Linked DNA regions of Alligator mississippiensis. The protein of the gene in region 2 purifies or fractionates together with the protein of the main gene of each other region. This does not show direct contact. Links are inferred from orthologs where the notes say so. Each region holds a gene or a part of one and is shown on either strand. Other genes may lie near its edges.

What was found. Proteins that work in one complex are often made in the same cells at the same time.
Region 1: the proteins of NES (region 2) and VIM purify together in Homo sapiens (affinity purification with mass spectrometry; 3 studies listed by BioGRID and IntAct, counting the BioPlex papers as one, with this or other methods). This does not show direct contact. The link is inferred for Alligator mississippiensis from reciprocal best matches to the Homo sapiens genes NES and VIM.

What each region holds. Positions count from the first base shown.
Region 1 is NC_081828.1:181,333,348-181,337,091, forward strand, and holds the start of VIM (vimentin), read left to right. Parts: upstream 1-886; 5' UTR 887-932; coding exon 933-1,495; intron 1,496-2,362; coding exon 2,363-2,423; intron 2,424-3,744. UniProt on the Homo sapiens protein: Vimentins are class-III intermediate filaments found in various non-epithelial cells, especially mesenchymal cells. Vimentin is attached to the nucleus, endoplasmic reticulum, and mitochondria, either laterally or terminally.
Region 2 is NC_081838.1:16,776,612-16,780,355, forward strand, and holds the start of NES (nestin), read right to left. Parts: upstream 2,315-3,744; 5' UTR 2,222-2,314; coding exon 1,409-2,221; intron 1-1,408. UniProt on the Homo sapiens protein: Required for brain and eye development.

The DNA of each region.
Region 1 (3,744 bases), on a different chromosome or scaffold from region 2:
GGTGAAAACCATCTTCTATTTATGAGCATCAAGTGCTGACTCCTGTGCACCTCTGGCTAGAACAACACCAAGCCCAACTAAAACCTGCATTTGCACCTTGCCAGGCCCTAGCAAATCCACCCTGTTCCTTCACCCAGCTCAGGGGAAAACCGCGCTGAAGAGCAGTTTCTGCTTGAGGTCTCTGCGCTTCAGCCCTGGGAGAAACGGCGCCAGAGAAGCGACGCTTTTCACTGCTCAGCCTGGGGCCCACGGCCCTTTCGCGCAGCTGAGGCCATACCCTCCGGGGCGTTCAGCCTCTACCTTGCGGAATAAGCAACCGCAGGGGGAAAGGAAGGGCAAGGCTTCAAGCAGACAAGGTCCTTTGGGTAAATCCGATATCTTTTATTAGACCAACTCAAATAGTTGGAAAGATTCTTCTTCCCAAGATTTTTTCCAACTATTTGAGTCGGGCTAATAAAAGATACCGGATTTACCCAAAGGACTTGTCTGCCAGTGCCGTTAGACCAGCGCGGCTACGCCCAACCCTTCCAGCAGCTTTCATGTCTCCGGGGACGCGCGCGGGCAGCGCCGTGTGCCTCTGCCCCGGCGCCGGCGGGGCCGCGCCGAGCAGGGCGGGCTGCGAGCGGGGATGCGGCGCCCCCTGCCCGGCAAAGCGCCGCCGCCCGAGCAGCCGCGGGGCGCGGGCGGATGGGCTCCGCCGCGCCAGCCAAAAGGCGCGAAGTCCCGCCGGGCCGGGCCGGGCGGGGCCGGGGTCTCCCCCGACCGCCACGTCCCGAGCCAGGCCCCCCCTCCCGCGCCCCGCCCCGCCCCGCCCCGCCCGGCGCCGCCGATTGGCTGGCAGCGGGCAGGGCGTGGCAGGCTATAAAGCCCGCGCCGCGCCGAGCGCCCCGCTCTCTGCGCTCGAACCGCTAGGCTCGCCCGACGCCGCAGCCATGAGCTTCACCACGACCAAGGGCTCCTCGTACCGCAGGATGTTTGGTGGCGGCGGAGGCGGCGGCAGCGCCCGCTCCAGCTCCAGCGGCGGCACCCGCTATGTCACGTCGTCCAGCCGCTACTCGCTGGGCAGCGCCCGGCCCAGCGCCGGCGTGCGCCTCTCGTCCACGCCCGGCGGCTACGCCACCAGGAGCACGTCGGTGCGGCTGCGGAGCAGCCTGCCGCCCGCGCGCATGCTGCACGACACAGTGGACTTCTCGCTGGCCGACGCCATCAACACGGAGTTCAAGGCGAACCGCACCAACGAGAAGGTGGAGCTGCAGGAGCTCAACGACCGCTTCGCCAACTACATCGACAAGGTGCGCTTCCTGGAGCAGCAGAACAAGATCCTGGTGGCCGAGCTCGAGCAGCTCAAGGGCAAGGGCACGTCCCGCTTGGGCGATCTCTACGAGGAGGAAATGCGCGAGCTGCGCCGCCAGGTGGACGAGCTCACCAACGACAAGGCCCGCGTCGAGGTGGAGCGCGACAACCTGGCCGACGACATCATGAAGCTCCGCGAGAAGTAAGTGCCCGGGGGGCCGGGGCAGGGCGGGAGGGGAGCTGAGCTTGGACAACAGGAAAACTTTCTCCCCAGGAGGGTGGGGGAAAGCGCTGGAGCGGTTCTGGGGTCTCCATCCTTGCCCCTGGCTACGCAGCAGGGGGCTGCACTAGATCAGCGCTTCTCATCCTCTTGTACAAGGGCGCGGGTGGCCAGTCCCGACCCGCTGCCCCTCGCCCCTGACCTTCTGCCCTAGCCCCACAGTTCTGCCAGCCTGGAGGGAGAAGTTGTGGTTTCACACGTTTTCTCCTTTAAAAGAACCCATTTTTAAAGTTTACGCCTGACCCTTTCATATATTCTTGCTGGGTTGCAACCCACGGGTTATGAAACCCTGAGGTCCCTTTCAACTCTAATGTTCTGTGACTGTAGCCCGGCCTCCAGAGAGAGGTTTCCCTAGGGCTGTGGGGTGAGACCTGGGGCACCAGATCTTGGGTCTTCAGCCCCACCCTGAAGGGGGAGGCTTGGGCGGATGGGCAGGCTAGTCTGTTTCCTTCCTTTACCAAAGGAAAGTCGCTCCTCCACAGCTTGGGTTTCTGCAGAAGGCAGCTTTCAAGCAGCCCAACTTGGAGTCAGCCACTTGTTGCATCCCTTGAATGAGTTGTGATGCTCATGTCTGGTTTTGGGACAGTTGTGTCAACTGGAAGCATGAAAAGCCTAGTCAGGCTGACTTGGAAAGGCTCTGCCCCCCAGGGCAGTGTAGGCATGGGATGCTTCTTAGCAAATGCTCCATCTCTCCCTCTGAATGGGTGTGGCTCCACTCAGGTTTTACACCAGGGGCTGGTGGCTTCCTCCTTGCATGGCTTTACCCCTTGTTTATGTTCCTGCTTTCAGGTTGCAAGATGAGATGGAGCAGCGAGAAGAAGCTGAAACCACCCTACAGTCTTTCAGACAGGTTTGTCTCTCTTGTTTGTTTGCTTTTTTCCCTTCTCTTTTCACTTAAATGCGGGGCCCAGCCAACCTAAATTGAAGTGTATAAAGCTTGCATAATACATAAGTTGGATGAAAAGCCACCTAGTGGTAAAAAAGCAGACTGGAAAAGCTGTAGACGTTCATATGGATTTTTTTGTTTAGTCTTAGAGCGTTTTTGGGGGAATTTTTGGTTAATTTTTTTTTTTTAATCCAGGATGCCAACATGCTTTTAGGGTTAAAACTCAGTTATACAATAATAAACTTGCAAGGTTATTTAAAAAAAAAAAGTATGTAGGGGTTATTTTGGAATATTTTGCAAATGATACAGCTTAATTAAATTGAGTGGGGGGGGTTGTTTTGGTTGTTTTTTTTATTAAATAAATTGGATTAGTAGAAGTCATCTGCATGACTAGGTATGGCATGCCTGATGTATCATAGGTGAAATGTTAGTGTATAAATGAGATCCCAGGACTTTGTAGAGGCTTTTGTTAACGCACAGAGGAATTCTGTCAGTAATCATGTAGATTCTGCTTGTTTTCTTTGGGCCGATGCTGTTGTCTCAGGGGGAGGGGAGAAACTATTGTATTGTTTTGTTTTTTTGCTTTATCCAAGTCTAGCCTATCTTACAAAAGTGCCCTGATGTGGAATCACTTTCTGATCCAATAAGGGTGAAAGGGAACCATCTGCTTGCTTGGCTGAAGGGTATTAATGGTTTCTATGGGATTCACCATGGAATGCAGATGCAGGCATTATGGCAAGTGTAGTGGCAGCAGATTGAAATAATAGAAGTCTTTGTATTCAGGGGGACTTTCAACAGGCTGCATTCTTATCGGATGTGTAATGATGCAAGCATATTTTAGAGGCATCAACTATTTTCTGTTTCCCAGTCTCAAAGTATATAATACAGGACTCCTTCAGAAGACTTGACTGACCTCATTTCAAACTTCCAAAGCTTTTGTTCCAAATTAAAATTTCCTATCTGCTTCACAATCTTGGGGGGTTTTTTTTTTGTGTTTTTTTTTTTTTAAGGGAAGGGTTATAATATCAAGAGCAGACTAACTGGTTACGGTGTTGAAACTGGATTTTCTATTTAATGTAGAGGTTCTCAAAGATGGTGTGGGGGAGCTGGGGGTCTGAGACAGGAGGTAGTCAGCTAAGCTTCAGAGTGAAATAATGAGGGTTACCTGGATACCTTTTAATTACTTTAGCAAGAAACTAACCTTTAATTGACCTACAATATTGAACTTTTCAAATAGTGCAGGTATTTCCAAGTAGCAAGCTTGCAAATAGTGGCTTGCAAGCTC
Region 2 (3,744 bases):
GGAGACAGGGCATGTTCGAGTGCAAGGATCTGGACCAGCACCATTGATGGGTGGAGGGTTTGACTCTGGATTTGCAGTATCCAAACGGGCATTCAAACTGGGCCCGAAGCAAAATTCTCCTTCTTCAAGAGCTCTGAACTGGAGCCCTGGTTGCAACTCACCCATGGGTCCAACCCCCTCCAGGGCCAAATCCCTCCCTGCTTTACACTCCAGATTGACACAGAGTCTAAGAGACTTCTGAAGCCTGCACCCGCTCCGAACATGGTCAAGGCCAGAATGGGTCAGGGCAGCTGTGGAGCTGTCTTCACCCCACAAGCAGGTCACGGAGGGAGGACTTTTATCTTCCAGACTGAAGAACTCTCCTGTTTCCAGAAGCCTGGAAAGGTTTTTGTCTCTTCTAAGGGAGACAGAAAGACAGAGTGCATGGGACAGACAGCCAGATCCAGCACATGTTGTGAATACAAGGTCATCAGCTCACCCAGGCTGGTCAGAGACTCAGGGGATGTCCCCACTCCACGTCAAGATGCCTGATCCAAGATTTTAAATCACGGAGCTTCTGAAGCGGGGGGTGGGGAATCTCTATCATGAGCCTGCTTCTGCAGATGGAGAAACTGAGGCACAGAGAGGGGAAGGGACCCAGAAGCAGGCATAGGACCTGGCAGCCCTGGCTCTCATGCCCTCATGTAGGCACAGAAATGCTCCTACCCACTGGGGCTGGTGGGTTTGCAGAGAGGAAAGGGCATGCCTGATGGAGGTAGAAGCCAGGCGTCTTGGCACCCACTCTCCCCAGCCCTAAGCACCACAGCATGTCAGGAGGAGAGGATGGGGACATGTCCCTCACCCTTTCCTCAGGGCTTGGGACAGACGCCTTCCCTGCTGTCATGCCAGGGACAAGCCCAACCCTCTCCACCAGACCCAGCCCAGCTCCTGGCAGACCTCATGCTGCTGTCTCCCACAGCCCTTCTCTGCACCTGCCCGGGCTGGAAATCCTCTTTTTTTTTTAAAGAAATGTTTCATGTTCCAAGCCAAATCAAGTCCAAATCCATGAGTCAGTCCAGACCCATAAGTGGCCCTGCAACTGGCAAACATCCTCAACCCCCACCAAAAATCCTCTTTCCTGCATGCAGGTAAGCCTGGCCCATCTGCAGAGAGAACCCAGGAGCCCTTCCCCTGTCCCTCTGGATTTAACCACCAAAGCCAGGCAGAAAACCCAGGAGTCCTGCTCCCCCTCCCACGCTCCACATCTGTCTCTCCGGGTACAGTCTTGAACCCTGGAGTCCTGGGCCCCGGTCTCCCAGCTCTAACCACTAGGCATGCTGCTTCCCAGGGACAGGACAAGGATGCTAGTCTGGTTCCCAGTCCTGTGTGCCCATCTGCATGCCCTCCCCTCCATGGCCTTTGGACCCACCTGAAACTTCTCCGCCTCCCCCCTCTGCTCCTGCCACTGCTGGGAGAGGTTCTCCTCCAGCATCTCCTTCCTCGCCTTGAGCCCGGCCAGGTCCTTCTCCAGCTGCTGCAGCTGCAGCTGGTTCTGCCGGTTGCCCTCCACCGCCTGCCACAGGCTCTCCTTGGCTTGGCCCAGGGTGCTCTCCAGCTGGGCCACCTCACTCTTGTAGGTCTCCACGGCTCCTTTCCAGATCTCGGCCAGCCTCTTGGAGTAGTCTTCAACCTCCAGGGGCTGGAAGGCAGCCGATGGAGCCCGGAAGCTCTCCAGGCTACAGGAGAAGCGGGCGACCTCCTGGTCCAGCTGGGCTCTGTCCTCCTCGTGTATCTCCATCAGTGCCTCCACTTCCTTCTCCAGTTGAGCAGCCCTCTCCTTCAGCCAGATCTGGGCTCTCCTCTCCTCTTCCAGCTCCTTCTTGCTCAGCCCCAGTTGCCTCTTGGCTTCATCCCGGGCGGCCCGTTCCCTCTCGCACCTGCTCCTCACCTGCTCCACCTCCTCGTACAGGTTGTCCCGGGCCAGCTCTGCCAGGCACTTCTCCTTGAAGGCATCATCCAAGGTAGCCCTCAGGGCTCTCAGCTCTTCCTCGTACCTGCTCCTCCAGGACCTCTCGGCCGGGCTGCTCTTAGCTCTCTGGATCTCTGCTCTCAGCACCTCGTTTTCCTCTTCCAGGAACTTCACCCGGGCTAGGTAGGCTTCCAGGCGCTTGTTGAGGTCCCACATCTGGAGGGACTCTTTCTCCAGGGCACGTGCCCCCAGCAAGCCCTCCATGCTCAACATCGCTGGACGACCGTGGTCCGTGGATGGGCAGAGAGAGGGGAAGCGTGGTCCAGAGGGGGAGAGGGAGCAAGTGGCCGGGAAACAGCCCAGCGCAGCTATTCATACTCCGGTGGGCGGAGTAGGAGGCCCCGGACAGCGAGTGAGGGCTTTAACTCTTCCGTGCCTTGGGGCGGTGGCAGCCTGGACGTGCTCCAGGCCAGTTCCTCACCCGTGCTCGAGAAAACTGCCCGGTGCCAGACCCAGCTATTTTTGGCTGGACTTGGGCCAAAGATAGAAGAGCTTCATCTGTGCACCAAGCGGGGCTTGCCCAGCTGCAAGAGCTTTGCAAGGATGCTCTCCCAGTCACATCCTGAGGGGTGGGGAGGCAGGGAGGGGGCTGCAGACTGGAAATCAGGACACCTGGGCTTTCTTCCAACCTCCAGCAGTGGGACATGGGGAAAGTCCCCTTCTGAGCTTCTCTTATTATTTGGGGTGGGGGGGTAGGGTGTTGACTGCAAGGTTTCTGGATAGGGTACACAGCCTCCAAGTGATGGAGCCTGGGCCTGCTGTGGGACTCAGAGGCATGGAGGCAATGCAAATAGATCTGATGAATAAAGGGGTTAATAAGGAATGCCCTTCCCCCCCCCCCCCCCCCCCCCCGCCCCCAGGGCAGCAGCCTGACCACTTGGTGCCCTCCAGCAGCCCCCAATGGAGACAGCAGTGTTAAGGCGGGTGCAAGTGTTAAGGCGGGTGCAAGTGTTAAGTTGTGTTAAGAAGGATCTTGTCCCTGGGGGCTGGGCTGAGAACGTGCCAAACTTGTTGCACAGAAAGCAGCAAGAAGCATGCAACTGGCAGGAAATAGCAGGAGGCATGTGTGTGTGTGTTGGGGGGTTACACATGCACATACGCACGTGCGCACACACACACATGCACACACAGCTGTTTCTAACTTTCATGCCAAGAAAGATCCAGGGACCCTGCTACCCTGGGAGCTGTATCTCTTGCAAGCTGCTTGCACTAGGATGCTGCTGTTTTGGTGCTGGCTTCTCCCTGGTCCAGTTGAGGAAGCAAAGCAGGCAGGGCCCTGCACTCCCAGCCAGCCTCTGCCATGCCTCTTGGTGGTGAAGCACAGCCAGCCCTGCAGTAAAAAAAGACAGACAAACAGACGTCCCGTTAATTGTGTGAGCTCATCCCATCCTAGCAGTCCCCCAGATGCAAACCCCTCTCCTTCCTCTGCTGGTGGCAGCCACATTTAAGCTGTGGATGGATGGGAAGTGACATTAGTCTTGAACCTTTTTTTTTTTTTTTTTTGGGGGGGGGGGGGTCATTTAAACAAAATGGGTTTGGGGCAACTGCCAAGCAAAAACTGTCAGGGATAAGCCTGTGCTTTTACGCCAGAAGGGCATGCAGCTGGCCAGAATATTCCAGGCTTTGTTTAATCTTCTGTCTGTCTATCTATCAGTCTGTAGGTCTGTCCATCAATCTATCTGTCTGTCAGTCAGTTGATATCTATCTATCTATCTATCTGTCTGTCTGTCTGTCTG